Linked DNA regions of Lepisosteus oculatus. The protein of the gene in region 1 interacts with the protein of each later gene in a pairwise test. Links are inferred from orthologs where the notes say so. Each region holds a gene or a part of one and is shown in the gene's direction. Other genes may lie near its edges. The genes, in order: rnf8, homeza, mad1l1 and tmem79a.

The links.
Region 2: the proteins of rnf8 (region 1) and homeza interact in binary tests that used the Homo sapiens proteins (3 or more experiments, as listed by UniProt). The two-hybrid records come from large-scale screens. The link is inferred for Lepisosteus oculatus from reciprocal best matches to the Homo sapiens genes RNF8 and HOMEZ.
Region 3: the proteins of rnf8 (region 1) and mad1l1 interact in binary tests that used the Homo sapiens proteins (3 or more experiments, as listed by UniProt). The two-hybrid records come from large-scale screens. The link is inferred for Lepisosteus oculatus from reciprocal best matches to the Homo sapiens genes RNF8 and MAD1L1.
Region 4: the proteins of rnf8 (region 1) and tmem79a interact in binary tests that used the Homo sapiens proteins (3 or more experiments, as listed by UniProt). The two-hybrid records come from large-scale screens. The link is inferred for Lepisosteus oculatus from reciprocal best matches to the Homo sapiens genes RNF8 and TMEM79.

Annotation. Positions count from the first base shown.
Region 1 is NC_090697.1:43,193,744-43,201,625, forward strand, and holds the start of rnf8 (E3 ubiquitin-protein ligase rnf8), read left to right. Parts: upstream 1-4,869; 5' UTR 4,870-4,950; coding exon 4,951-5,076; intron 5,077-5,923; coding exon 5,924-6,052; intron 6,053-7,882. UniProt on the Homo sapiens protein: E3 ubiquitin-protein ligase that plays a key role in DNA damage signaling via 2 distinct roles: by mediating the 'Lys-63'-linked ubiquitination of histones H2A and H2AX and promoting the recruitment of DNA repair proteins at double-strand breaks (DSBs) sites, and by catalyzing 'Lys-48'-linked ubiquitination to remove target proteins from DNA damage sites.
Region 2 is NC_090699.1:13,251,776-13,259,332, forward strand, and holds the start of homeza (homeobox and leucine zipper encoding a), read left to right. Parts: upstream 1-4,539; 5' UTR 4,540-5,058; intron 5,059-7,420; 5' UTR 7,421-7,557. Other genes in the region: dhrs1 (dehydrogenase/reductase SDR family member 1), read left to right, coding at 87-223. UniProt on the Homo sapiens protein: May function as a transcriptional regulator.
Region 3 is NC_090714.1:1,968,469-1,975,484, reverse strand, and holds the start of mad1l1 (mitotic spindle assembly checkpoint protein MAD1), read left to right. Parts: upstream 1-4,013; 5' UTR 4,014-4,379; intron 4,380-4,907; 5' UTR 4,908-4,943; coding exon 4,944-5,090; intron 5,091-6,407; coding exon 6,408-6,548; intron 6,549-7,016. Other genes in the region: nudt1 (oxidized purine nucleoside triphosphate hydrolase), read right to left, coding at 411-562; mrm2 (rRNA methyltransferase 2, mitochondrial), read left to right, coding at 2,357-2,642, 3,123-3,547. UniProt on the Homo sapiens protein: Component of the spindle-assembly checkpoint that prevents the onset of anaphase until all chromosomes are properly aligned at the metaphase plate.
Region 4 is NC_090722.1:6,315,330-6,322,959, reverse strand, and holds the start of tmem79a (transmembrane protein 79), read left to right. Parts: upstream 1-4,614; 5' UTR 4,615-4,723; intron 4,724-5,686; 5' UTR 5,687-5,789; coding exon 5,790-6,453; intron 6,454-6,912; coding exon 6,913-7,116; intron 7,117-7,375; coding exon 7,376-7,589; intron 7,590-7,630. Other genes in the region: msto1 (protein misato homolog 1), read right to left, coding at 28-97, 553-688, 1,536-1,619.

The DNA of each region.
Region 1 (7,882 bases):
TAGCAGTTTTAAACTGCATTTGGATGACCTGACTAATGAGATTTTGTCTTTTGATGCTGTCCTTGAATTGGAGACAAACATATACAGTACACGTCAATACAAGCACAAAATGGAGCAGATGTAAGCACTGTGATTTTGTGCTTCGAGAGGGCTTCACTGACATGCTCAGAAGAGAGGTCTGTGTTCATGTTGGAGAATGTGAAAAGCAGGGTAATTTCATTGGGTTGAGGGTTGCCCATTTTAATGTTTTATTTTTTTAAAGCTTCATCAGTTCTGGAAAAATATTAAGTCATTTTTATTGTATTGATTTTTATATTTTAATGGCACAATAAACCAATACACTTTTATTCGTAAGTAATTTGTTTATGGAGCAACCTTTTATTATACCACTCTTCTTGGTGTTCAAATTTAATTTCTTTACCCGAAGTTTCTGAGATGTGTATGAAATATTTACATCGTCTAAGTTAGTTCTGACACAGCTGTTGGCCGAATGGATAACAATACATGGAAAAGCCAATTTTATGAAAGGTTAAGGTTAAGAAGATTAAAATGGATTTCTGAATTAACATCTTTTTTTTTTTTCTGTTAATCCTAAATGCCTGTGTGGATTAAATCTTAAATTACTCTTCCTTTCAGGGGAGCAGTAATTCATCAAATTAGTTTGCAGATTTCATTGTACTGTATATAAAGACCCTGAAGCTAAAGTTTTAAAGGCGTATGTTGAATTTGCCAGTAAACGTTTATTTTGCATTGCTTGCCTGTCTTTATAATTGTACTGTTTCAACATAAACGGTACCATTATAAAACATTTTCTTGACAGCTGTATGACACGGTAACAGTGGGTAAACAAGGCTTGTGTTACCTTCTTTTTTTTTTAATGACATATCTATGTATTGCCATATACTGTATATAGACTCTCTTATCTTGAATCGTCACCCCAGGGTTACAGAATGCAAACCACTTTCTGTGTGTGTAAAATACAGTATGTGCAAGACATCTACTGAGATTTTAAGTAGCAAAATTCATAAGGTAATGTAACTAAAATACAGAAGATTTTAAAAATGAAAGCATCAAAGATTGATAAGAAATCTGGCAAGCTTGTTTAATTCCAAAGTGTAATTAATTCCTGGAACTGCTAAATTTCTATTCATTTTCTTGTATTTTACCATGATTGTTTTTTCTCTTTTTCTTTTCTGTATTGGCACCATTACTCAAAAGCAAGTATGTACATTAGAAGGTTTCCTCTAATGAGACTCAGAACTGCAAACTACTGTAACATTATTCTTTGTGCACATCTGTGACTGCACAAATACATTATATTTCATTCTTAAATTAACAAAACCCTGCAAAGTATGAAAGTGTATGATTTTCATCTGCAGGTAGCTGGAAACTAATATTTTGGTGACGGCATTCTCAGATTACTAAGAAATGTAAGCCTTAAATGAATTTAAGGAATATTTCAGAAAGAAACACTATATGGAAAGAAAGACAAAAGCTTCAGGGCTTCAGTTGCTCCTGAGAACGTTCACTTCAAAATCTTTAGCAGTTTTAGTTGTTGCTTTCCTTTCCAAGAAGCCTGTTCAATATACTGTATTACAGACAATAGATCCCATTCTAGTGATGTGGAACTTTATCATCCCCATCTGTTTTGTCTCCTTTTGTGCAACTCTGTCATTCTGAGTTTATGTTCAAACTCCACATCTCTATTGTGGAGAGGCTTGAGGGATGGATGCAGATGCATGGCAAAAAGAGACTGAAATTTACACCCGTGGGACAATAAATGAATATCAGTCTTCCAAACCATGTATTGAAGCTTAAACTATGTTTGACTCGTGTAACGCCTGACATTTTCTTTAGATATTAAGAACTCAGATTAAGGTTAGTCACAGTCAACAAGGGGCTTGGATTTATTTTCTCTAATTGTTATGTGCATATCAAAACCCCAAACAAAATAAAAAGGTGCCTTTGAGAGGACAGAGGGTTGTGCAAAGTACAAAAAGCATCTGTGCTACGATGTGAAATTCCCACACACACGAGGAAAGCTAGATCAATGACCTCTATATTCGAGGAAGCAACAGAAAAAACAAAAGGAATTAAATGTGCTGACAATGCCAAACCGTATTCATTTGCAGGGCTAAAATAACAATGTGTTATTTGGTCAAAGTGACTTATCTGACTTACATTGTTTATTGCACACAAAATTTTATAGTACAAACATTGTTAATGGAAGTATAAGCAACCACACCTTTTTTGTTCACATTTAAATCTCACCCAAACAAGCCATCATCACTTTTTCTGGAAATGATCAAAAAGTTGTTAGAGTGTTATGATATTTTAAATCAGTTTTTAAAGTGTCAAATTAAATAAATTAATAACAATTACACTGTGCAGTTTTCAATATTGATAATACACCTGATAATTAACAATACAATTGCATCACAAAATATAAACATTCTTTGCAGAAGTCTTTGATTTCAAAAGCTGTGGTAGTTAAACATCTAAATTATATATTTTGTTTATTATACCTTTTAGGTGCAAATACTCATATAGAACAAAGAAACACTCTCCTTATTTTTGTCTCCACTAACTCTAACTTTTTCTAACTCAAGGACTGATTCACAGGATTTGTCAGAAGGTGGAGTTAAATTTAGTGTTTTCTTGAAAGAAGCATTTCTGTAGTTCTTAGTAATGTAATCGCAAAACGGAAAAGTCTACTTCATTAATCAACTGTAGTCTTTCACAAATGTGTCTTAATATTGCTCGATGAAAAAGAAGGAAAACTGGATTGAAAATATTAAATATTAAATACTATACTATATACTATAATATTATATAAATTTGAAATACAAATATGGTATGTTTAAGAGGTTCGAGTGTGGGAGCTGAAGAGCAGGAACAAGGAGAGGTTAATTCCATGCTGGAAGTAGAAAGAAAAAAATATTAAAAATGCAACATTTCAGCTGTGGATTCTTCTGTGAGTATGTGAAAGAAGGATGGAGAGAAAAGGGATACAAGAAAAGGGGGCTTTAAGGAGAACACATAGAGGGTATGTAAGGATGGGCACTGCAGATGAAAAAAGGTGCCTCACTCCTTCCAGAATCGGGATGGTTTCCAATCCTGTTGTTGGAGCGGGGAGGAAACTCCCCAGAACCGGCAGCCCAGTGTTGTCCTTTCACAGCCTGAGGAACATATAGTGAGCCTGTCTCAGAATAAAGTTTTATATGATGTCTTTCAATGTCCAATAATAAAGTATGTTTTTTTTTTACTGTAAATGTAAATGATTTGTTCATTGTTTCTGCTTTGGCAACACTACTGTATAATTCATCAGTCAAGCCAATAAAGTTCTTTGAATCTGAATCTGGGTCCTCCAAAGACATGGAATTCGGTGGAGCAATGTTTAAGGCAGAAATCTGTAAATGAACGGAGAGATTTCAAGGATTGCAAGCTGGCAGAAGATGTGAAAAAGACAAAGTTCAATGTAATAATGTCTGAGAGAGGTGCAGTATATCAGGGAACTGTTGTCTTGGTGAAACCTTTGATCCTTACTGTTCACATGTTCTGCCTGAAACACATCGCCAGTTCTTCAGTGTTAATGGCAGTGCTGTCTGCAAGAGATCTATGAAACGAGATTGTGGACAAGCAAGATACTTCTTAGGTGACGTTGATACAATGATGAATTTGTTGGTGCTGCTACCTGCTCTAGCAATCTACTACAGCAATTTTACATCACTTCACCCACTTCCATCCATCTCTTTCACTCCTCTTCTTTTTCTGCACATACAAAAAGTAGGTATATTAGCCACCTGGAACTGAAGGTTTCTGTGTATTACAAACCTGCTGATGCACTCCATACCTCCTCTACAGCATGTTCTGCCTTACAAAAATCTATTTTTCTTATTGTTTCAAAGACTTTGTAAGTCAGTCTTGAGAGCGGATATCAACATCCTTTCTATTCTCACAATCATCAAAGAAAACATCTCCGTTGTTTTGCTATTTTTGTCCACTGTTCCCTTAGCCATCCACAGCTACCAACAGAAGCAGATAAATTGCCTAGAAATGCACATTCAGTAGCACATATACATAACTAGTGTTTGTCCCTAATCTCATTTATTACATTTCTCTTGCTGAAAGAGTCCCATCATTTACATTGTAAAAAACACAAAGATGTGTCGACTGTTTCAGAGAACGCACACATTTCTTTATGTGCATATTTAAAACAGATTACAGGTACGTAGGTGTAGCTATTGTGTGCTTACAGAAAGGAAACCCTGCTCCTCCTGATGACTTCTGTTCCCCTTTCTACATTTTACTGTTTGTTCTCTAACTACTAATGTATGTGGCTAAATAATGGATTACCATTCCTTCTGTACAAATATGTTCCAAGGAGCACAATTCCGAAAAACAGAAAAAATCTTGCAAAATGAGAAATAGAGAGACCAGTGATAGCCAACAGTATTTTTCATTCATTTTCAGTTTAATTGTTAGATTCGCTCTGCACTTTTAAATATATACAGAACCTATTTACCGCCAATATTGATAAAAAGTTATCTCATAATGTATGCCCATTGTCTCCTCCTTTTGATAGAAAATATTCAGTAATGGAAATGGTGTGGGTTACATAATAAATTAGCTTTGTATATTTGCACATTATATTTTTTAGAGTATATTAACACAAATACTTGATTAACAAAGAGAAATGATCATGTTTTAAAGTGTAATGAATAATAATGTAATGAATTCTGAGTTAGATCTTTTTTGTCCTCCACCCCACCAAGATGGCGCTGATATTCCTTCAGATACGTGACGAAACGCTCCTTTTTTTTAGAACCTCTATGGTGTTCAGCGCTTCACGCCGGAAAAGCGCGCAGGAACGTGAATACCACAAGAGAGCGTGGAATTATGGGCGTTTAACTTTTTGTGTTATTGAGGTAGTGTCATGGGCTGAGGATAATGGCAGAGGAAGCAGAGTCTGGAGCGGTTTCAGGCGAGGAAGACGATGCCGCGAAAGATGAAATTTGGTGCCTGAGAAGAGTCGGAAAAAGGGCTGAGTGGCTCCGTCTGCCCGAGAAAGAAGAGGTCTTGTTCTCTTACCTCTCATTTACTCTTTCAGTACTAAACACCCCTCCCCCTTCACACTTTTAGCTAAGTGGCGTACCTGCAAAAATGTCTTAATTGTATTTTGAGTCGTAAAAAGTTGCAAATATGATCCTAATCACCGGAGCTGCGTGCTTCTGTTTTCAAGTCTTTTACTTTTTAATACATCTCATGTGTGTTTTGTGCCGAATGACGATGATTGCGGAGGGATGGGGTTACATGGGATCGCAATAGAAGGTGTTTTTTTAGTTATGCAATAATATTTTTTTCAGAAGCATATCCATGTTTGTATTCTGGGGTGTTTATCACTGCAGAACGGAACTCGTCACCTGAAAGTGATGAAAATGTGGAATTGGTGAAGTCCCCTAACTCCTGTTTCCCCGGTTTACACATCTACCTGGATCCGAGTGTAATTGAAACACTAGCGACTATTCCTTGCACATACATTTACATGTTTAAAAATACAAACAGATAAATAATTTGTTTATTTTGTTATACCTATCTGAAAGCCCACCCTCTTCATCGTTTAAAGGATCAAAATAACATTTGTCTTCGTTAATCGCCTGCATACTATTGGTACAATTTTAAAAAGCACGTTGCAATAATCGGATTTAGATGATTTAAGCTTTCAAACAAAAATAAACTCCCTTCAAGTGGCGCATGTATTTTGCAACTGCACTAGTAAAGAAATCTTATCTGAAGTTCCTCAGTGCTTGTCAAGTTGTAAAGTCAAGCTACATTTTAAAGTTCAGGAGAACAGTAGTAATTCTTTGCCTAGAAGCCCTCAGTAGTAAACCTTGATTTTTAATAATGCCTCTTCTTGTCTTAGGTGACACTTGGGCGAAGCTTTGATGTCACTTATCAAACCCTGTCAAGGAGCTGTCCTTTAATGATTTCCAGAAACCACTGCAAATTCAAACAAAATGAAGAGGGACATTGGACAGTGACAGATAATAAGGTAGAGCCTTTATTTCAGTTTCATACTATGTTGGGTATTATTTGCATAGGTTTTGGATTTTGTGTTTCAATTTCTGGTAGACTGCTAATGGTCCCATAGTTGTTATTCTGCCTGAAGACACTGTGAATGTTGGCCGAACATTCCTGAGATGTGGTTTGTGAATAGATAAGATAACAGATAAGATCACTTTATTGGCTATATACAGTTTCTTGTAATAGGAATTTGTCTTTTTGCATACCCCAACTTGCTCTCCATCAGACACACAGACAGGGAAAGAGGCTTGGGGTCAGAGCCCGGGGTCAGACATTTATACGGCACTCCTGGAGCAGTTGGGGTTAAAGGCCTTGCTCAGGGGCCCAATGGAGACGGATTCCTCTGCCGGCCACGGGATACGAACCGGCAACCTTCCAGCCACAGGCACAGATCCTTAACCACAAGGCCACTGCCCCGCCACACTAAAAATAATATTTAGTTATAGTTGACCTATAACTAAATATTAGTATGGGTTGGTTTTGCTGCATATGTAATATGATCTCTAGTATTATGAAATGCAGTTTGTACGTGCATTTATGAATTAATAAGAACATTAATAAAATGATGTACATGTTCAGTATTTAATCAGGTTATTGTTCTGCAAATTGTAGAATTGTAGAAAAATCTTAGAGGTGTTTCCTTGCATAGCAAGTGACCTAAAGCTAGCGCTGGATTCCATAAACCCTCCTGTAGCATTTTTTCAGATAGGTACAGATATGTTATGAAAAAGACCAAATGAAAAAAATGTTGTCATATACACACTTTACAGTGATAAATCGTAATGCTCTGAAGTATTGTTTTCATAAATCACTGGACATCATAGAGTTTGTCGCATCAGGCATCGCAAGATAAGTATGAGCCTTGTTTTAGACTAATATTCCACTTGTGAATTGAATTCACAAAAAAAGATGAAGTCCCCACTGTGCAGAGGAGTAGACCAGTTTCTGAAATAGACTCCCCCTTTCAACACTGCCTCCTTTCCTAAGCATTAAATTCAGGGTAAAAATGGTTCTTAGAGATTAACAGTTTAAAATGTTCATATAACTTATTGAAACTTAAATCAAGTGATCTAAAATCTGCTAACCCTTACATTAACCGTTAATAAACAGTTACTATAAATGCCTAGTTAAATACAGTAGTCTAGTCGAGACGCAAAAATAACATTTATATAAAGCCTTGATCATTTTAAAACCATTTAAAAAGAGATTTTATTTTCTTGAATGCGATTAATGACGATGTGTTTCTGTTGCCTTACAATATGAATAATTTGTTCACCGATCTGAATCCAAGACAGAAACAAAATTATCCATATAATCCAAGCTGTAGAATTTTGAAATACAGAATATTTCTACATATTAATATATACCTAAATATATCTACAAAAATACCTGCTGTATATTTCTGTTAGGATCAAATTGCAGTGTTTTTTTTTTGTTCCTGTAGACGCCATTAAGAATATAATAAAGCAATTAATGTAATATGTATCGAAATGTTAGAAGAGGTTACAGACAAGAGGAGGCCATTTGGCGCCTCTAGCAAAATTGGTGTTAATGTGACAGAACGGACAGCAACACATTTGTGTAAAGAAAGAAGCAAATGCTTGGAGACGTATATCTCTTTGAAGCTTGATGGATTGATCAAGTTCTCCAATTTTTAGTCGGATACTGACAATTCTATTCATCAACAGCAACAGTTATTGTTTGTGACCATCGCCATCAGCAAGAGGTAGACTGGAAGCTGGACAAACCCCATGAAACACGTAGACCCAGCCAACACTACAGCTACAGCTTATGCCTC
Region 2 (7,557 bases), on another chromosome or scaffold:
TCAGTAAGACACAGAAGACTAGTGTCGTTTCTCTCAGTGTGTCTGTATCATTAACGTCTCTCTCTCTCTCTCTCTGTGTTTCTCAGGGCGCAGTGTGTTTGACAACATGTCCGTCAGTTTTCTCGTCTCCCAAGTGCCCTACCTCTCCTGGCTGTCCTCTTTCATCCCTTCTTTCCTGCGTCTTCCCAAGTTTGTTCTCACTCTGCTCCACGGACGGTTCTGACCCAGTAACCCCACTGATCCTACACAGTGATCCCCTGTCCATCGGCACAATGACCTCTGACCCTCACACTGACCCCCTGTCCATCAGCACGATGACCTCTGACCCTCACACTGACCCCCTGTCCATCAGTACGATGACCTCTGACCCCCACACTGACCCCCTGTCCATCAGTACGATGACTCTGCCTGTCCTGTCTGCCCAACACCAGGTCAGCTACCCCACACACACACCCCGCTGACCTCTGACCTTCACACTGACCCCCTGTCCATCAGTACGATGACTCTGCCTGTCCTGTCTGTCCAACACCAGGTCAGCTACCCCACACACACACCCTGCTGACCTCTGACCTTCACACTGAACCCCTGTCCATCAGTACGATGACTCTGCCTGTCCTATCTGTCCAACACCAGGTCAGCTACCCCACACACACCCTGCTGACCTCTGACCTTCACACTGAACCCCTGTCCATCAGTACGATGACTCTGCCTGTCCTATCTGTCCAACACCAGGTCAGCTACCCCACACACACCCCACTGACCTCTGACCTTCACACTGAACCCCTGTCCATCAGTACGATGACTCTGCCTGTCCTGTCTGTCCAACACCAGGTCAGCTACCCCACACACACACCCCGCTGACCTCTGACCTTCACACTGAACCCCTGTCCATCAGTACGATGACTCTGCCTGTCCTGTCTGTCCAACACCAGGTCAGCTACCCCACACACACCCTGCTGACCTCTGACCCTCACACTGACCCCCTGTCCATCAGTATGATGACTCTGCCTGTCCTGTCTGTCCAACACCAGGTCAGCTACCCCACACACACACCCCGCTGACCTCTGACCTTCACACTGAACCCCTGTCCATCAGTACGATGACTCTGCCTGTCCTGTCTGTCCAACACCAGGTCAGCTACCCCACACACACACCCCGCTAACCTCTGACCTTCACACTGAACCCCTGTCCATCAGTACGATGACTCTGCCTGTCCTATCTGTCCAACACCAGGTCAGCTACCCCACACACACACCCCGCTGACCTCTGACCTTCACACTGAACCCCTGTCCATCAGTACGATGACTCTGCCTGTCCTGTCTGTCCAACACCAGGTCAGCTCACCCTGAAGGCTTCCAGTGACTAATAAACAGCATTTTATTTGTCATTAATCCAGCATTGTTCTAAACGTAATGTATTATACTTTGCATTAAAGAAGCTGAAGTAAAGTGTGCTGTACTGCACTAGTTTTACACTCTAAATGTGCGAGTGGTGTTTTTTACAGTTTTATTAAGTGTTACACGGTAATCACAGTAGGAGCTTTGCATTTCTTTCCTTAAGAGGATAACGGTGAAATTGATCATGAAAAACAGGTACAGTGACGGCCACATCAGAGTTCTGTCGGGTTTTAAAGTGTCAATATAATAGTGCTCTAAGAGCTTTGATCTGTGGAGCTGCTCTGAACTATACTAGTGCTTTCAGTGTCTTCTCCACAGTCCTTTCAAACACTCCAGCTCATCTTTCAGGATGAATGTGAACTTCTCTGAGGAGTTCAGCTGATGTGTGGTGAGCGCTCTGGCGCACTATGGTTGCCGTCGGATCATCCAGGTGGGGCTGCACACTGGGGGGGTGGAGGGGATCCCCATTAGCCTGTAAAGCGCTATGAGTGGAGTGTCCAGAAAAGCGCTATATAAGTGTAAGCAATTATTATCATTATAATTATCAATAACAGCTCCCAGAGACCCAGGGAGGAGTGTTCATCACACACGCACACACCCCATCGAAATCAGCTTTCTGTCCAGCGTCAGGACAGGCTGCGATGAGCCCCTCTCTCTGCGATGAGGGAGCCCGACAGGCAGGAGTCCTGAGACGCACACGAGAGGATGGGCATCTGTCTGCGAAAGATACACATCTTGAACTTGAACACAGGGAGAGCTCCTGAACGCAGACAAGAGGTCCTGGCCACAGACGAGAGCTCCTGAACGCAGACAAGAGGTCCTGGAAACAGGTGAGAGCTCCTGAACGCAGACAAGAGGTTCTGGAAACAGGTGAGAGCTCCTGGCCACAGAACAGGAGGAGCTCTTGAACACAGATGAGAGAGCTCTTGTGGACACAGGGGGTTCCACACAGAAGGTACCTGAAGGAACCTCAGACCCGCAGACACCACGCAGACTCCACACAGAAGGTCCCTGGAGGAACCTCAGACCCGCAGACACCACGCAGACTCCACACAGAAGACACCTGGAGGAACCTCAGACCCGCAGACACCACGCAGACTCCACACAGAAGACACCTGGAGGAACCTCAGACCTGCAGACACCACGCAGACTCCACACAGAAGACACCTGGAGGAACCTCAGACCTGCAGACACCACGCAGACTCCACACAGAAGACACCTGAAACCTCAGACCCACAGACACCACGCAGACTCCACACAGAAGGTCCCTGGAGGAACCTCAGACCCGCAGACACCACGCAGACTCCACACAGAAGACACCTGAAACCTCAGACCCACAGACACCACGCAGACTCCACACAGAAGACACCTGGAGGAACCTCAGACCCACAGACACCACGCAGACTCCACACAGAAGGTCCCTGGAGGAACCTCAGACCCGCAGACACCACGCAGACTCCACACAGAAGACACCTGAAACCTCAGACCCGCAGACACCACGCAGACTCCACACAGAAGACACCTGGAGGAACCTCAGACCTGCAGACACCACGCAGACTCCACACAGAAGACACCTGAAACCTCAGACCCACAGACACCACGCAGACTCCACACAGAAGACACCTGAAACCTCAGACCCACAGACACCACGCAGACTCCACACAGAAGACACCTGGAGGAACCTCAGACCTGCAGACACCACGCAGACTCCACACAGAAGACACCTGGAGGAACCTCAGACCCGCAGACACCACGCAGACTCCACACAGAAGACACCTGAAACCTCAGACCTGCAGACACCACGCAGACTCCACACAGAAGACACCTGAAACCTCAGACCTGCAGACACCACGCAGACTCCACACAGAAGGTCCCTGGAGGAACCTCAGACCTGCAGACACCACGCAGACTCCACACAGAAGACACCTGAAACCTCAGACCCACAGACACCACGCAGACTCCACACAGAAGGTCCCTGGAGGAACCTCAGACCCACAGACACCACGCAGACTCCACACAGAAGGTCCCTGGAGGAACCTCAGACCCGCAGACACCACGCAGACTCCACACAGAAGACACCTGGAGGAACCTCAGACCTGCAGACACCACGCAGACTCCACACAGAAGACACCTGGAGGAACCTCAGACCTGCAGACACCACGCAGACTCCACACAGAAGACACCTGAAACCTCAGACCTGCAGACACCACGCAGACTCCACACAGAAGACACCTGAAACCTCAGACCCACAGACACCACGCAGACTCCACACAGAAGGTCCCTGGAGGAACCTCAGACCCACAGACACCACGCAGACTCCACACAGAAGGTACCTGGAGGAACCTCAGACCCACAGACTCCACACAGAAGGTACCTGGTGGTGGAGGGATCCCCATTACCTGTAAAGCGCTTTGAGTGGAGTGTCCGGAAAAGCGCTATATAAGTGTAAGCAATTATTATTATTATTATTAAACCTCACGGCGATTCCACACAAAGGGGACCCTGATCTAGACTCGAGCCGGTGGAGCTGAGGGGGTGGAGGCGATAACCGCCCCCTCCTGGCTAAATACGAAAGACCCAGCGCGTTTACACTGCCGTGCCCGCTCGGAATCGGACCTCTCCGGAGTCACACTCCCTCCCGCTCAGAAACAGCAGAGTAAACTCCGGCCCCCGGCGCTTCATGACCTGGCTTGACTGCACTTCCCAGCTCCAACAGGAGAATTCCGCGGCCGGTGTACAAGGAGGTCGGCGATAAACAGTTAACAGCCTAAATGAAACCAAAATAAACGTACCCCATCCGTAACCGGCAGAAATATGCGCTTTAATATACGAGACGGATGTGTGTATATGCGTTGGTTGCATATTTCACGTTGAGTGTCGTTGTGTACGGTGACGCCCGAGACAAACTGCCGCCCTTGTGGGTGGACAATAAAGCTATATCTTTCCTTCTCTCTTTAAAACCAAAACCTCTTCCAGGAATACCTTCATAAGATGGCGGCCCTCACAGCGCAACCCCCCCCCCTCCCATCACCTTCTGCAACTGCCCTATTCGCTCTACGTTACCTGGAGCACGTACTCCCATCGTTACCCCGCCCCCTGACCCCGCTCGCTCCGCCCCCTTTCTCCCAACTAGTCGGTGCGAGCGGAGTCCCGGCTGCCCCGCGCCGCTACGCCTTTAATGGCAAGCGGGCCCCGCCCCCCGCCGTCACCCCGGGAGACCGAGGCCTAGCTGCCCGAGTTTCCTGCTCCCGCCCGGCCTCGCGTAGCGGCTCAGAACAAAAACACGGCGAGCAGGAGAGAGAGGGACGCAGCGAGCGCCCGGCCGAAAACACGACCCCCCCTCCCCCCCTCGGCAGAAACACGACAACGAGAACGCAGGCGGCCTCCGCCTGCTTTGGAGTTTAAACTCGGGACTTTTATTTAACTTTTTTTTTCTTCTTTAAGAAAAAACACGCCAGCAGTCCGGAGCGGAGGGGGGCGGAGAGACGGACACGCACGCAGACGGTCTCCGGTGTTTGGAAGAGCAGCGGAGCGACACCAGCCGCTGTCCGGCCCCCGCAGACCCCGCACCGCCCGGCGGAGACGCGGCTTCTCCTCGGCGGGGCTCCGGCGGAGGGGAGACGGCCGGGAGAGCCGGAGACGCCGCGACCTCAGCCTCCCCGTGAGTCCGGCTCCGCCGCCTCGCTGCCCCGCTGTCCGCGCACACGGCGCCGGGACAATAGTGAGCCCCGCCGGGGTGGCTGGGGTGCCTGTTGTCGTTGTTGTTGTTTTGGGGGTGCTGCGCCGTGATGGCGATGTGATGGCGTGTCTGTGTGGCCGCGGGGGGAGCGGGCTTGCAGGGGCTGTACAGACGGGGCCTCTCGCTGACCTGCCCCCCCCCCCGTAGGACCCCCGGGCCAGTCCGGGCTGGGGGGGCTGGGGGCGCCCCGGGGGTGGCCGTGGCGAGTGCGAGCGAGGCTGCGGGACGGAGCCGAGTGTATGTGTGTGTGTGAGATGGTGGCCCGATGACCGTGTGTCCACCTCCCCCCGCCCCCGTGTCCGGAGCAGGGGCTGTCCGCCCCGGTGCCCACCCGGCCGTGGAACTCTCTCGCGGGGTGAATCGTCTTCCGGGGGCCCAGCGGAAACAGCTGCTTCTGCTGGGGGGGGTGTTTGTGTCCGTGAGCTGTGCGTGGGAGGGGATTCCGTGACTGCTTTCGCCCGCGGCCGTGCTCCGCTAGCGTGACTTTGAGGCGGTATCCTTCTGATAACCTGCGTCAGAGGGAGAACAAACATGTTGTTTTTGGAGGGGTACGGGTCTACGGCTTGTTGGTGAGGTGGACGAAGAGATCGGCCGATCAGAAAGTTACCAGTTAGTCGTTCCGAGGGTCTCAGACAGCTGTGTCCAGTTCAACAACATGGCTGGGCAGCTTGTCCCCCACCCCCCTCTGTGTAAAGAAGAGCCTCCTGTCCTGACTGGAGGGTCTCACCCAGCTGTGTCTGGAGAGAAGCCAGGGTATCGGCTTCAACAACAGGGCTGGGCAGCTTGTTCCCCACCCCCACCACCCTCTGTGTAAAGAGGAGCCTCCTGTCCTGACTGGAGGGTCTCACCCAGCTGTGTCTGGAGAGAAGCCAGGGTATCGGCTTCAACAACAGGGCTGGGCAGCTTGTTCTCCACCCCCACCACTGTCTGTGTAAAGAAGAGCCTCCTCTCATCTTCCTTATTAATAATTGGCTTCGTGGACCAGTATAGCAGCTCCTCAGGTGATGCTGTTGTTGCTTTCAGGAGACCTACAAGTCCTGCAGGCACAGCACCCACAATTTGTTGAAACATTATCATACGTACCCTCTCGACCACTGACACAGCTCTGATCATAATCTCAGTTAATAACTAATCCCTTACTGCAACTTGTATCGGTCTTGCTTTCGGGGTTACTGCGTGTCTTCATGTTTAATACTGCTGTGTTTACTTTGTATTAATAACGCCAGTGTCAGTGTGTCTGTATGAACCCCTCTCTCTCAGTGCAGTGTTAATGTACTGGAGTGTCCAGTCAGTCAGTGTGTCTGTATGAACCCCTCTCTCTCAGTGCAGTGTTAATGTACTGGAGTGTCCAGTCAGTCAGTGTGTCTGTATGAACCCCTCTCTCTCAGTGCAGTGTTAATGTACTGGAGTGTCCAGTCAGTCAGTGTGTCTGTATGAACCCCTCTCTCTCAGTGCAGTGTTAATGTACTGGAGTGTCCAGTCAGTCAGTGTGTCTGTATGAACCCCTCTCTCTCAGTGCAGTGTTAATGTACTGGAGTGTCCAGTCAGTCAGTGTGTCTGTATGAACCCCTCTCTCTCAGTGCAGTGTTAATGTACTGGAGTGTCCAGTCAGTCAGTGTGTCTGTATGAACCCCTCTCTCTCAGTGCAGTGTTAATGTACTGGAGTGTCCAGTCAGTCAGGGTGTCTGTATGAACCCCTCTCTCTCAGTGCAGTGTTAATGTACTGGAGTGTCCAGTCAGTCAGTGTGTCTGTATGAACCCCTCTCTCTCAGTGCAGTGTTAATGTACTGGAGTGTCCAGTCAGTCAGTGTGTCTGTATGAACCCCTCTCTCTCAGTGCAGTGTTAATGTACTGGAGTGTCCAGTTAGTGTGTCTGTATTAACCCCTCTCTCTCAGTGCAGTGTTAATGTACTGAAGTGTCCAGTTAGTGTGTCTGTATTAACCCCTCTCTCTCAGTGCAGTGTTAATGTACTGAAGTGTCCAGTCAGTGTGTCTGTATGAACCCCTCTCTCTCAGTGCAGTGTTAATGTACTGGAGTGTCCAGTCAGTCAGTGTGTCTGTATTAACCCCTCTCTCTCAGTGCAGTGTTAATGTACTGGAGTGTCCAGTCAGTCAGTGTGTCTGTGTTAACCCCTCTCTCTCAGTGCAGTGTTAATGTACTGGAGTGTCCAGTCAGTCAGTGTGTCTGTATGAACCCCTCTCTCTCAGTGCAGTGTTAATGTACTGTAGTGTCCAGTCAGTGACTATAGGAAACCATAACGGCCTTTTTGTCATCACTTAACAGAACATCCCATTGCGAGGGGGGGAGTTTGTTTGCTGAGCACAGTGCCTCCTTGTTGTTGGACAGAGAAGACCAGAAGAGAACAAGACATCTTTTCCCCCCTCCCTTCTCCCCATCCCTTCGGCTGAAATAACAAGATC
Region 3 (7,016 bases), on another chromosome or scaffold:
GAAGATAGGTCTTTGGTAGTTTTTATCACTACCAAGCACGACCCATCTGATTCAGGCTTCTGCTGGCATTTTAGTGGGGCATTATTTCATTAGACATTTTAAGGTAAATTTAAGATCATGAATGTTTACTGATGCTTTACCAATCGTGAATTCAAATGAACCAAATTAAGTGTACGTAATATTTAGTGGCTCAACTATAAGTTCTGCACTGAGGGATCACTGTTTTATTCCTACGCCCCCCCCAAAAACACTTCTAAAACATATGTACCTTTTGTTGTATTTCAAATAGTTCATATTTTAAAAAAATAAACTTAAGCTTAAACTGAAATGTTTGTGGGTTTACCATATTTGGGTTTCGCTTATTTGAATACCTTCTGTGGGGTATGAGGCTTCCTCGTGACTGGACTCACCGCTTCGCTGCTTGCTCGATTGTCTCTCCCGGCTGAACTTTGCCCCCAAAGCCGTTCCACTTCCCTGCGCCAAAACCACGCTTCTTCATGCCCAGGAGAACCCGCTGAGGCTGTACCACCATGACCAGGGTCAACAGCTTGGTAGTGATCATTGCGCTGCTGCAGGGAAGGACACACACACGACTGAATCCCTCTCCGCGCTCTAATGTCACGGGAGAGACAGTGACCAGGATCACACTCTCATGTCAAGCACCTGACTAAACACCTGTGGAAAGATTACTGTATGAACGCCGCTGACCCCCAGACGTTGCGCAGTGTGCAAATGGACAAATTGGGGACTTAATTTTGGAAGCGCTCGTGCACACGGACACAAACTTTAAGTTCATAAAAAAGGCATTTGTTTCAGGGCACAAGCCCTCGGACAGAAGCCCTTCAGCTGTTCAGAAAGACACCAGCTCTGCCGGTTCCATTGCTTTATGACGGCTGCAGGTCTGCGGTCTGAAATCCTGAAACAATTGTTTTAAAAACAACAGTTAACACTTGCATACCATATTATCACATTTATTCTTCAAAATTTATTTGAACACTACAGTTCAGACTACTCCAAGTTATATATGTCCATACAGTATATATGACATTTTCAAATTACTTCTATGGAATGTACTTGATTCTGAACAGTGAGATACTGCATTGCGTGATATTATTTAGCACACTACTTTATGCCTCAAAACTGATTATTTTTCACAGTTTGTACGGTAAGGTGCCGTGATCATTGCCGGGACAATTGCTCTGAAAACAGATTGGCCAGACAACGTACAAATTCCCAGAAAAACGTTAATTAAGTTTTAGTGTAACAAGAACAATGTCACTGTGCTGTATTTGCATAGCCTGCTCTGTACATTTCTCGACACCGCATTCATTCACATCTCAATACAGTTAACTTCTTTTGTCACAGTAATTGCCTTCCTAACTACTATAGACGTCACCAGCTCCGGATAATACAAGTACATCCTTGCATATAGTCAGATAATTTTCTATGGACATGCATGAGCAATCTGAAAGTGACCTAAAGGCTAAAAAAAAGTGAATTGATTAAACAGAACAAGTCTCATACCCAAGAACGATACCATCTAAAGTATGTGTGAACAATAGCAGCAGATGCACATTCAGTAACTCTGCAACAGCTGCCTCTTCCCTCGAAAGTCAGTCCAGCGGGTAGCCACACACATGACTCCCCAGCTCACTGTAGGCGTGCCACCCTGAAACCTGTCCGACTGGAAACACGGGGAGGACGTGCGGGAGGTCATATGTGACGGAAGCGTGTTCATCCTTAATGTTTACGAGTACTATCAAGGTCCCTTTTTAAACGTGCTTTCAGAGAAAAGGTGACATTTTGCAACTTTTAACGTAAAGGCTTCATGTAGTTTTAATTATCGATGTTATTCATAACTTCGTTCTACCGCTTTTGTACGGATTCAAAAATCTCAATGCAGCCCGGTGCTATTCCTGAATTGGTTGTAGTGTAATATAATTTGCAACCAATAATTAGTAACCCACTAGCATCTCAGATTAAGTGATTGCATTTTCCCCTCAAAATGAAAGTGTCTGAGGTCTGCTAGTCCTACCCTCTAAAACTTAAGCGGTTCAGTAACAAATTAGGACTCGTTTGACATGACAGGTCGGTTCAGTGGGTCTTGCAGAAATGAAGCTGAGGTTCGTATTAGGAATGGACCTCAGCCTTTTGGATTAAAACCATTTGTTTTGATCAAGTAGATCAATAGAAAAAAAGGCTGAAATCAGCCCTGCTTTGAATAAAGAGTTGATGTGTAGCTCAGTGGTATGAAACTTTACCGTACAGTCACGGCATTGTACACTCTATACGTACAAAGTTTGATCAGCGACCCTGCGCGTTTTGGACTTGTTGCGATGTGTTTCCTCTCCCAGGGATGCTGCGCAGGGCTCTGCACGCCTCGGCTCGGTGCTGGAGGAAGAGCCCACACAACACGAAAGGCAAGAGCGCTCCGGAGCAGCGATGGATCGCCAGGCAGATCAACGACCCGTATGTGAAGGCCGCCCGCCGGGAGAGCTACCGCTGCCGGAGCGCCTTCAAGCTGCTGGAGATCGACGACCAGCACCGCATCCTCAGGCCGGGGCTCCGCGTCATTGACTGCGGCGCAGCGCCGGGGGCGTGGAGCCAGGTCGCCGTCGAGAGGGTGAACTCGTCGGGGGCAGGTGAGCGCATGTTTGGTGTGTTTTAAATTGGGGTCTGACTGCAGCCCAACACAACATCGTCTTACATTACAAGCGCACACCCTGTGTAGTTTCGGTGAACTGGATGAGATGGGGTTAGGGCTTGGCAGCTTCCATAAGGATCAGGGCAGATGGGAGTTTAGCACTTAAGACGGCCTTGAAGCCAGCATGCACCTCGGTTACGTCAGCACCAAACTGGACCGTCCTGGCGCTGCAGGTTTTGTGGGGCTCTTCAAAGACGCAGCAGCTGACGAGCTGGGAGAAACTGTTCAGTTGGCCCAGTGTAGGCAGGTAGCTAGTCACCGCCTGGTTTAGCTCGTGAGGCGCTGGCTTGGAATGAAAGCACCCAGACACACCGGCCCCCCAGGACTTGAGTTGCCCACCCCCGCATTAGAAGCTCTGTGTACATGAACACGGATGAGACTGGTTCAGCTTGTAGTGCTGCCTTCTCCCTTGTTTCAGATCCCGGATTGCCGGCGGGCTTTGTCGTCGGAGTCGACCTCCTGCGGCTCGCGCCCCTGGACGGAGCGCACTTCCTCTCCCCGTGCGACGTGACGGACGCGGCCACTCCTGCCCGCCTGCAGGAGCTTCTCCCGGCCTCCGTGGCCGACGTCATCCTGAGCGACATGGCGCCCAACGCCAGCGGCTTCAGGGAGCTGGACCACGAGAGGCTGGTCGGCATGTGTCTCTCCCTGGTGGACATGGCCGAGGGGGTCCTGCGTCCGGGAGGCACTCTGCTGTGTAAAGTCTGGGACGGAGGACTGGCCCATCAGCTCCACAAGAAGCTGGCGCAGGCCTTCAAGGAAGTCAGGACCATAAAGCCTAAAGCCAGCAGGAAGGAGTCCGCCGAGCTGTTTTTCCTGGCCAAGAGTTACAAGGACAAATGATTGTTAGCATTTTCCTCCAGTTTTTTCAATTGTTTAAAAAACTGGAGTTTTGTGAGATTACAATTGGGAAAAAAACTTCAAAATGATGTGCACTTTATCCCAAGGCCAGCAAGAGACGTTGCCAAAATTGAGAATGAAAAACAAACAAACAAACATGAGTTTAACATTTCATTGCTGCAGACACACTGTAAGGGCCTAAACACGAGACACTGTAAAGCCTTAAATCTTGGTTTCTTGGGTTTTATTTTATAAACAGATGATGAACCTATTGTTAACGCAATGTAATTTTATTTGAAGTGACAAAAACGTGTTCGGTTTCACTGGACTTGACATCATGACCTTTGTATTAAACTACAGTACGTACTTCTTTCTGTAACGTATTGCAGGCCTGTGATTTATGGTGTTTGTTTGTGTGTGTGTGTGAAGAGCAGAGTTTTATACATTTCAAAAATAAAACAAGGATTAGATTTGTGCAGTTGGTGAATGGAGAATGATATGGACTAAAAGGAGATCCATGCTATAAACTCCCCATTTGTATTTTGTTGTTTTAATATATAATGTTTCCCCAACTAAGAAGAAATAAACCGAGTACTGCCATCCAGTAATAGTAATAAATACATGTTTTAGGGTCTGGGCAGCATTTATTACATTTGAACCACTGCAAATTTCAGAAATCCTATAAAAATGGTGAGGGTGACTAGGTATTACGGTAAACGATCATATCCTTTAAGCCCCGCTATTATATTCGTTACGCTCAAGCATCTAGGAACTCTCGCGAGAAGGTAGATCTGTTCTGGGTTGGAGGAGGGAGATCCAAGCAGTAAGGAATAAGGTATCATCGAAAATTGCGTGTTCTCAAAAATGTTACATGTTTTTGACATGGTCGTGTTTTTTTGTAAAGTAATATGAGTTGTGCTTAGACAGCTGAAATTTTGGTTTATTACATGGATGCATGTTTTGGAAATTTGGTTGACCCAAACAGTTGTGCATATATAGTTTAAGTTTTCTTGTGTACAGTACTCGTGTGCAACACACTGGCCAAGCAAATGCAAACTTCAGCTTGCTTTTCACGTGCCTTTATCGCAAACATTAAGATATTAAACCGTTAAAATCCACTTTATTGCACGAGTGAAGTCATTTGGAAAGCTTAATGATGACCTTCGACAATACTACGAAAACATTGCTTGGAAATCTGTTCCTGCTTTTATTAAAAAAAGGATACTGAGCATAATGGAGCAGTCATAACACGATTTATAAACATAAACAACATTTTGAAACTTTGTTGAGGGTTGTTTGCTTTGCAAGCGGTAGCGGTGAGAGCTTGGCGGACACTTTTCAGGTGCGTTTCTTTGCCTTCCAGATTGTTTTCTAAAGAAAAAAGTAAAACCAGTTCAAAATGGACAACATGCAGGACAATACCACCGTCTTCAACACTTTAAAGTCATTTGAGAGTTTCCTCTCGCAACATGACGCTTCAACGAGCCAGCCTGAAACCAGCGCGAGTAAAAGTGACCTGCAATTCCAGTACAACTACCAGTTTAAGGTGAGTACAGTTCTCTAGATAAGCATTTGAGCTCAGCCATGCAAGATGCATACAGTGAGCTTATTAGATTGTGCACGATTACAAAATTAAAATGCATGATTCTCAAGAAATCAAATATTATTTAACTATTTGGTCTGAAATGTTTTTTTTTTTAGTAACAATGTTAGATCAACACACCTTTGGACAGTATGTTACATTGATTGTTTTTTTAAAAAAACATTACTGATTTTTACATCAGTAAAGACTTTCTCTGCATTGTAAGTAATGGAATTAATTTATCTTACTTTGCCATGGGGAAATTATTTAATGTAGATTTGGTATGAAGGTTCTTCATACCAGTTTCAAATTGGTGTCTGGTGTTAAGAGAGCTGTTTGGATTCTCTTGAGTGCTGTTAAAAATCCACATTTTCAGCCTCACTATTAAGAGCAATCTATATGTTACTGCGAAAAGCAGTTAATAAAACTGTATTTTTGTGAAAGTACTATATAGTATAAGCCAGTTCAGTAGCAGATCAGTCTCAATCTTAATCGAGACATTAATTAAACTATAACCTCTCATTCGGCGTCAAGTCAACCAATGTCCCGGAGAATCCCTGGCTCGGGATTTTGCATTTTCTTTGTATCATGGACGGTAGAAGTTTTCATTCAAGTAAAATGAAACTAATGCACATACAGAAAGTGAAAACAGTGTAACATTGGAAACAGTGTTTCCGTGATTGAATCAAGTAGATCCACAAAGACAAGGAGTCCAACCAAATGAAAACTTAACGAAAGTATAAACACAAACGTTGAACTGGACACATCTCACTGGTTGGCCGGTCTCGACTCCCAGTCAGGCCACAGCGAGAGAACAACAGTCTGGCACGACGCTGTCGTCCCCTGCAAGCTACTGCAGTAATGTCCCCACAACCGGCGTTCACGCGTGCAGCAGAGACATCTGATCACGTGGCCCGTGATCATGAACCTTTCACCTCCACGCAGACAACAGCTCCTCTCTGGGGTTGAGGCAGGGGGAACGGGGTGGAAATTCCATGGCCGTGCGCTGGCAGGTAGCGAGCCATTCGCTGAATGAAGCAGGGTGGAGAAAGCTGACTTTATCCCACACCACTACTCAGTTTGGCACATCAGCCATCACCACCTCTCTCCGATGACCAGGTATAAGACTGTTGCACAGTGCATCCAAGAAAACTAGCACATGGCCTGTGCTGTAGGGCTCAGTGTTGGGGATGTGGGCACTAACACCATCACCTGATACAGCAGTGCACACAGTTATATTAACAGCTTGTAACAGCTGTGTGACTATCGATGTATTTCTAGGTGGAAGAGGAAGCTCAGAAAATCTTCTCCAAGACCCATCTTTTACAAATGGCCCAAGAGAAGTCGCAGATGGAGTTCAGTCACAAACGTGCCCGCATTGAGCTGGAAAAAGCAGCCCACACCAGTGCCAGGGACTTGGAGGTGAGCCCTGAAGATGCAGTTCTGATCTCTGTGTTTCATTCCGCCAGGGGGTCTTAAACACAATTCTGCATGGTGGTCGCTCTCAAAGTTCAGCTTTGTATCTTCTGGTTTTTGTTCTGTGGTCTCAGATACTGTCATTTCACACTCGGGTCCAAGTTGTTTTATTGCTAATTCTACTTTTAAGAAAAGGACTGCTCTGTGTAATCACCTGTAAAACAAAAATCTGCTGTATATTTAAGATAATTACGTGAAGATGGGCAGTAGGACCTGAGTCTGAATAGAATGAAAGTAGAAATTCACAGAAAGGTTGTCTATCTTTCATGCTGTGTTTTCTTTTTCTCTGACTCCATGACATGAAAAATTGTTCAGAAACAAGCCATGCAAAGAACTGGAGATGGGGAATACAGAGTATTGTTTTTGCTATATAAATGTATATAATCGTTCTGCCATGCATGCCTTGCTGCACTT
Region 4 (7,630 bases), on another chromosome or scaffold:
CACACAATAAGAGAGAAGGTGACTCACCAGGTGAAAGTTCTGACTTCTTTCCCTGTCTCATAGAGGCTGCCTTCCTGCCTCAAGGTACTGAGGCTTCCTGTCGGAAGAGAGAGACAATGAAGGTAGGAGAACTACTAAAGACCTGCAGTGGATCAGACTGCTGTGCACTGGGAGTCTGACTGCCAGCACTGTACAACCTGGAGTGGATCAGACTGCTGTGCACTGGGAGTCTGACAGCACTGTAAAACCTGGAGTGGATCAGACTGCTGTGCACTGGGAGTCTGACTGACAGCACTGTAAAACCTGGAGTGGATCAGACTGCTGTGCACTGGGAATCTGACTGACACCAGTGTAAAACCTGGAGTGGATCTGACTGCTGTGCACTGGGAGTCTGACAGCACTGTAAAACCTGGAGTGGATCAGACTGCTGTGGACTGGGGGGGTCTGACTGACAGCACTGTAAATCCTGGAGTGGATCAGCTTCATTTATATCCCTTCCTTTAAAAAAGAATCGCAGAGTTGAGAGTGCCACACACAGAGCATCAGGCCCACCCTTGAGGTCCAGTGTGATGAGGCGGGGGGTGTAGGTGGTCTGTCCCCCCAGTGTGACCCCCTCCCGGAATAGGACATCACTCAGCAACTCGCTGGGGGGGCTGGGGGAATCCGGGTCGTAGCACAGAGCAGCATCCTGGACAGGGCGGTGAAGAAGAACAGAGATTTTCATTAAGTTTGTTCGATTTTTTTCAAACAACCTGGGGCCACTTACAATACTCTCCCAGGTTAATTCTCTCTAACAAGTGCTTATGACACAGATCACAGTGAGACTGGGGCTCCTTTACAGCTCTCTGTCTGTCCCAGACTGGCAGTGAGATTAATATCCTGACTCTAGAAGGGCTGTGTCTCTATCTGTAACACTGACACAGATCACAGTGAGACCTTGGCTCCTTTACAGCTCTCTGTCTGTCCCAGACTGGCAGTGAGAATTTAACTAAAAGGGAAACTTTGTTTTCAACTGTCCTAGCTGGTAAAATAAAGGACTAAATTGAAACGAACAATAATGATGGAGAATTAATGTGAAAATGTGGTTTTATGGAAAGGAAAATTCATAACCTCTTCACCTCATTTAGAAATTCAAAACTTGCTGGGCTATGATTTGCTAAGACTCTCCTGCCCAGTACTAAAGTCGCACTTCAAACTGTTTGCTTTTCCAATTCGTAACATCATGAAGTTGTCTCTTTCTTTCACAAAAAAATGTAAGACTACTAATTAATTAACAGGATTTAAATAATTGAAAGGAAATGGTCAGATATATCTAAACCTATTTCAATGTACAAGTTGTTTATATGCTGTATATACACGCACCTAGTTTAGAGTTGATGCAATATACATTTAGACATCTCGTAGTGGTGACTCAGGCACGGCCCATACAAATCTGACAGGATATTCTCAATCTGTGGTCACCCTGTACACAATACTACGCATCTATAAACTTAATGTTGATTTTGTTCATATTAAATATTAAATTAACTAAATACCTGCAAATTCCACCAGTGGGTCCCCACATAGTTTGAGAAATGTCCCAGCTGCAGGGTCACAACCTCGCGACACACGTTTGCCATTGTGCCCTACAAACATCCGTCTAACGGGGATAAAATATAAATGTTCCTTCGGAAAATTCATAAAATAATATCAGAACACTCGCGTAAACTCTCACCGGCCGTGAGTACAGGATTCTCAATCTAACCCCAGGCTGCGAAACAAGACCCCACCTCCACGCACAGGTCTTAGTCCCTGGGATTGGCTAACGGGCAACACATCGTATTGCGATTGGCTAAGAGTGTTGTATTTCAGAATGTTCTAGTTTTTCCTGTCGCTCAACGGGTTTGGTTGCACGGCACCAGGGAAACACACGTGGAGCAGCGAGCTCTCTGATTGGAGCGGAGAAGGAAGCTGCTGTCCAATTGGATGGCAGAGGAGAGGAGTAAGCAGGAGCTCGGATTGGTTCAAAATTAGGGGCGGGTTCACGAATGTACACACTCCAGTTGTGTTGTGGACTACAGTAGATAATACTGAACATGTTTACATACGGCACATGAGTTAGTATAGAAGCTGTTTTATCACATTGTTTTTTTACAGTAAAGGTAGTCAATTTTGTAAATCACTGCAGTGTTTGGAAAAGACTCGAAGGTAAGAAATTATCTCTGTCAATACAGTAATATCATATTGTAATACTATGAATAGTTTCAAAGTGATTTCGTGTAAAATTCACTGAATTTCTAAAACAGAATGTGTTCCAAATCCCTACATTTTGTTTTTAGCGAAAAAACAATTCGATCTGCACCTTTTTTCATTCCGATGAAAAATTACATATAGCGCCCTGCATACAGGTGGAGACTCACTTCACTGCCCATCCATGTGGGAGACACACAGCAGCCCCCCTGCACACAGGTCAGGGGGGGAGAGAGACACTGCTGCCCCAAGGGAATCCTGGGAGAGCTTCGGAGAGGTCAGGCTGTACAGCCCAGACTGGAGCCAGGAGACCAGGGTTAACAGATCTACACTTCACTCGTGTATCAATAAATAAACTCAATTACCAAAGATCTGCAAACAGCACTTATGGGAGGGCGGGGTAAGGAAATGATTATTTTTTAATAGTTTGATTATTGGTGTGCCCAGTGCTTGCTGGGACAGGCTCTTGGTCACCATGACTCTGAAGTGAAAAGGGGTTATGGGATGTGATGGGATTATGGGTATTGTACCTCTCAGATGGGGTTCCCAGCCCTGGTCTGCAGGAACCCCAGTCCAACAGGTATTCCGTGTCGCCCTAGAATCACAGAGTTCTAATATCAGGAACCAGTTGACTCCGACCAGCAGCAGGTAACCTGTTCAATGGAGTTATTTAGAAAAGATCTGGAACGAAAGGTCAGAAAACTCAAGGACAAAAGCTCCATGTTTCATTGACCAATGATACATCCATCCCTCCATCTTATAACAACTTATTCCAATTCAGGGATGCAGTGGAGCTGGAGCCTATCCCAGCAAGCAACAGGCGCTAGGCAGGGTGCACCCTGGACGGGACACCAGTCCATCAGAGGGCAGACACACACCCACACACACACACCCTGGATGGAACACCAGGCCAGGCAGGCAGACAGACAAACACACATTCACACCAAGAACAGTTTTCCCACAAGCCAATTAATCTACCTGCATGTCTTTGGACTGTGGGAGGAAAAACGGAGCACCTGGAGGAAACCAACATGCAAACTCCCCCCAGACAGAACCCTGAGCGACTGAACTGTTTTCTAAGCCAGGGGACGCAAACTCACTTCCTAGCTTGGTTGGCATCTTCTGGTTTTAGTTCCAACCTGAGCAGGCAATTAAACAATGTACCTAATGACTAATAATTAATATTTAATAATAATAATTGCTCAAAGCGCTTTACAGGAGCTTTGTGTTTAAATGGCAGAGGAGTCTGGAAAAGGGTGGACTGAAAATGAATGCAGAAAAATGCAGAAAAATCTGAAATAATGGTAATGGAGAGAAGAGGAGATACTATGACCAATGTTGAGGAGACAAATGGAGGAAAACTGAAACAAGTTGATGGCTTTAAATACCTTGGATCAAAACTGGTAAAGGGAGGAGAAACACTGGAGGCAGTAAAACAAAGAGTGAAAGCTGGATGGAACAAGTGGAGAGAAATAACTGGAATAATCTGTGACAGGAAAATTCCTAGAAAGTTAAAGTGCAAAATGTACAAGACTGTGATTAGACCTGTACTACTGTATGGAGCTGAATGCTTGGCAGTTGGAAAGAGGGAAGAGAACTTGATGAGAAGAACTGAAATGAGGATGTTGAGATGGATTCTGCAGATTTCAATGAAGGATAAGATCAGAAATGAAGAAATCCGTAGACGATGTAGGGTGGTGGATGTGGTTGAGAAGATGCGAGAGGCGAGGTTACGGTGGTATGGACATATCATGAGGAGGGACGTTGAGGAAGTAACAAAGAGGTAATGGAATTTGAGGTGGAAGGTAACAGAGGAAGAGGCAGGCCTAGAAAGAGATGGATAGATTGTGTGAGAAAAGATATGGAGGTATGTGAAGTGAGTGAGGAAGATGTGCTCGACAGAGACAAGTGGAGAAGAGCAACCAAAGCAGCTGACCCCAGGACAGTCTGGGACTGAGGCTGTGAAAAAGAAGAAGAAGAAGAAGCTCAAAGCGCTTTACAGGTAATGGGGACTCCCCTCCACCACCACCAATGTGCAGCATCCGCCTGGATGATTAACTTTCTTAATTAAATAAGATATGATGCCCAACTGGGATTTTTGTGAAGGTCTTTTGCAGTTGAGGACTGAAAAAAAAAACCAGTACAAGTACAGCTCCTTACAGTATAAACCAACGTCAAGCCCAGCCGGAAGTATCAGTAATACTACAAGTACAGTTATAAATCACCCCCAGGCCAGGTAGGAAGTATCAGTAATTGTGCTGTTCATAAAAATCAGAGGACCTGGCTGGTGGTACATGGGCGCTCGGGCAGATCAGACACCAGGGGGCACTTCTGCTCTTAACGTTTCTTTCTGTTTTGCGGGGGCAGTGAGGGGACGCTTTTCCTTCCAGACCTCTCCTTTAAGAGCAGCCTGTGCCTTTAACAGCTCCACCTGGGCACACCTGCGTCTCGTCTCGGCGAGAGAGAGACACACGGAGGCTTCGCGGCACGCTGAGTAAGTGGCGTTATAATCGTTATAATCGTTATAATGTCTTCTCGAGAGCACCGGACGTAGAGCGAGCGGGCGTTGAACGTTTGATGAAACATGTCCACATGGTTTCGAAGCGTCATGAACTGGCTGCCGAGTTTGGACTAAAGTGCTCAGTGTGACTTGGCTATCGGAGACGACACACTACGCCTATGCCCGTCTCACTAATACTTATCTCCACGCATTTCTCCCCAAATAACATAACTTTTTTTTTGAAAGAAGGTCTTCTGATAAACAAATGCTTCCTGTAGGCTCCCACTTCCCCCTCTCGCATTCCGAACGTTTGGTAAAAAAACAACAACTGGAGTTCAGCCAATGACAAAAGGCTTTTGGAATGAATGGCGTGTTACCTGACCAATCGAAGGGAAGGATTGATGACTGGGTGGGGCTTTACCTGCATAACTAACAACACCCTGTATGAAGAAACCTTCTCTGTCAGTTTTAACTGGCTTACCTGTAGTTTCCACTCGTGTCCTGACAACATGTCTCTAGCAGTGTCTCCAGTCCAGTCAGGGGGGTGTCAGTGTGTGAATTCAGGGGCAGTGTGAGAAGAGAGGGACAGCAGTGTCTCCAGTCCAGTCAGGGGTGTGTCAGTGTGTGAATTCAGGGGCAGTGTGAGAAGAGAGGGACAGCAGTGTCTCCAGTCCAGTCAGGGGTGTGTCAGTGTGTGAATTCAGGGGCAGTGTGAGAGGAGAGGGACAGCAGTGTCTCCAGTCCAGTCAGGGGTGTGTCGGTGTGTGAATTCAGGGGCAGTGTGAGAGGAGTGGGACAGCAGTGTCTCCAGTCCAGTCAGGGGGGTGTCAGTGTGTGAATTCAGGGGCAGTGTGAGAGGAGAGGGACAGCAGTGTCTCCAGCTAGCTTGTACAAACGGCTTGTTTGAGTAACACAAACAAATTCTTTCCAAATTCTTGTATCAACTTGTTTTCCTAGTTCCTTATTCTGTTGGGTCGAAAACATACCTGCCGGGTCCTGGAAAGTCCTCGGAATAACTGTGGAAGGAAGCCCAGGACAGGCAGCAGAGACCAGTCCCAGGATGCCCGGTCGGATGACCGCGAACCCCGAATCGGAGCTGCTCTTGGACGAGGGGAAGGACCGTCCTCTTGAAAATGGCTCGCTGAGCTCTGTACCCCTCAAACCAGGCCTGACGGGAGAGGGGGCGCAGGAGACGGAGAAGAAGGAAGAGATGGAGGGGGAGGAGGAGGAGGGAACCAGGAAGGGAGAGGGGGAGGAGGAGAGGGGAGTGAAGAAGGAAGTAGGAGAGGAGGAGGTGGGAGTGAAGGAGGGGAAGGGAGAGGAGGAGAGGGGAGTGAAGAAGGAAGTAGGAGAGGAGGAGGTGGGAGTGAAGGAGGAGCAGGGAGAGGAGGAGAAGGAGGAGGAGGTAAGGTCAGCTTTAACAGAGTCCAGTACCCTGCTGTGGTCAGCAGAGAAGCGAGAGGCCGAGAAGGGCAGCGGGGTTCTGGGGGCGACGGGGGCGGAGATGGAGGAGGACCCCCTCGTGAACTCGCTGCCCGAGAAGGCGGCGCAGGTGTTCAGCCCCAGCGTGCGGATCCTGGGCCCCAGGTCCGGCCTGCACAGGAAGTCTGCGGACAGGGAGGAGCTGTGTGTTCACGGTGGGGACCCCGAGAAGAGCCCCTTCCTGAACCGCCAGGGGACCCCCCCAGATGGGTACTGGCCGGAAGATGACGGTCCATCACATGGTAACTTCGGGGCGCCCTCTCCAGTACTCTCTCCATCAAACTGGGGCACCCTAGCCCGTCCCCCCACAAACCTCTAATCCTTAGTCGTCTCTGCCCCTCTCTTCCAGTCCACACTGTGCCTTCCCTTGTGTCTCCCCTCTCCTCCCCCAGGTCTCCCCTCTCTTCCAGTCTACACTGTGCCTTCCCCTGTGTCTCCTCTCTCTCCCGGTCCAGACCTGTGCTCGAACCCTGTGTCTCCTCTCTCTCCCGGTCCAGACCTGTGCTTGAACCCTGTGTCTCCTCTGTCTCCCGGTCCAGACCTGTGCTCGAACCCTGTGTCTCCTATCTCTCCCGGTCCAGACCTGTGCTTGAACCCTGTGTCTCCTCTGTCTCCCGGTCCAGACCTGTGCTCGAACCCTGTGTCTCCTATCTCTCCCGGTCCAGACCTGTGCTTGAACCCTGTGCCTCCTCTCTCTGCAGCCCGTGGTCGGTGCTGCGGTTGCCGTGGTCGCGATGCTCTGAAGTCCCTCTCCTCTCTGGTTGCTGCCGCCCTCATCTTCCCTCTCCTCCTGTGGGGCGGGTTTGTGTTCCTGCCGTTTGACGCCCCCCTGCTCCCCGGCGCCCCCCTGAGGCTGGTCTACACCCTGCGCTGCGCCGCCTTCGCCACCGTGCCCGTGGTCCTGGGTGAGAGAGAACCCGCCCGCCCACCCGCCCTCCTCCTCCTCCTGCGACAGAAGCGGCACGGGTCTCTGCTCTGGTTCCGTCCTGCTGGGCTCACGGGTCTCTGTCCCGGTTCTGTCTCCCCAGGCGTGCTGGTTCTGGGCCTGTCCCGGCTGTGCTGGGCTCACGGGTCTGTCCCGGTTCTGTCTCCCCAGGCGTGCTGGTTCTGGGCCTGTCCCGGCTGTGCTGGGCTCACGGGTCTGTCCCGGTTCTGTCTCCGCAGGCGTGCTGGTTCTGGGCCTGTCCCGGCTGTGCTGGGCCTCTCTGATGCCGCAGAGCCAGGAGCGAGGAGAAGTCTGGGTGCACCGGCACTTCGTCCAGGACTCCCTCTCGCTCTTCCTCCTCTTCTTCCTCAACCTGGCCGTGCTGTCCACCTACCTGAGCCAGGAGACCCTCAAGCTCGTACCGCTGCTCACCGGTCTGTTCGCCATCGCCAGGTGACCCCCTCTTCCTGTCTGTACCCCTTAACAGCAACCGC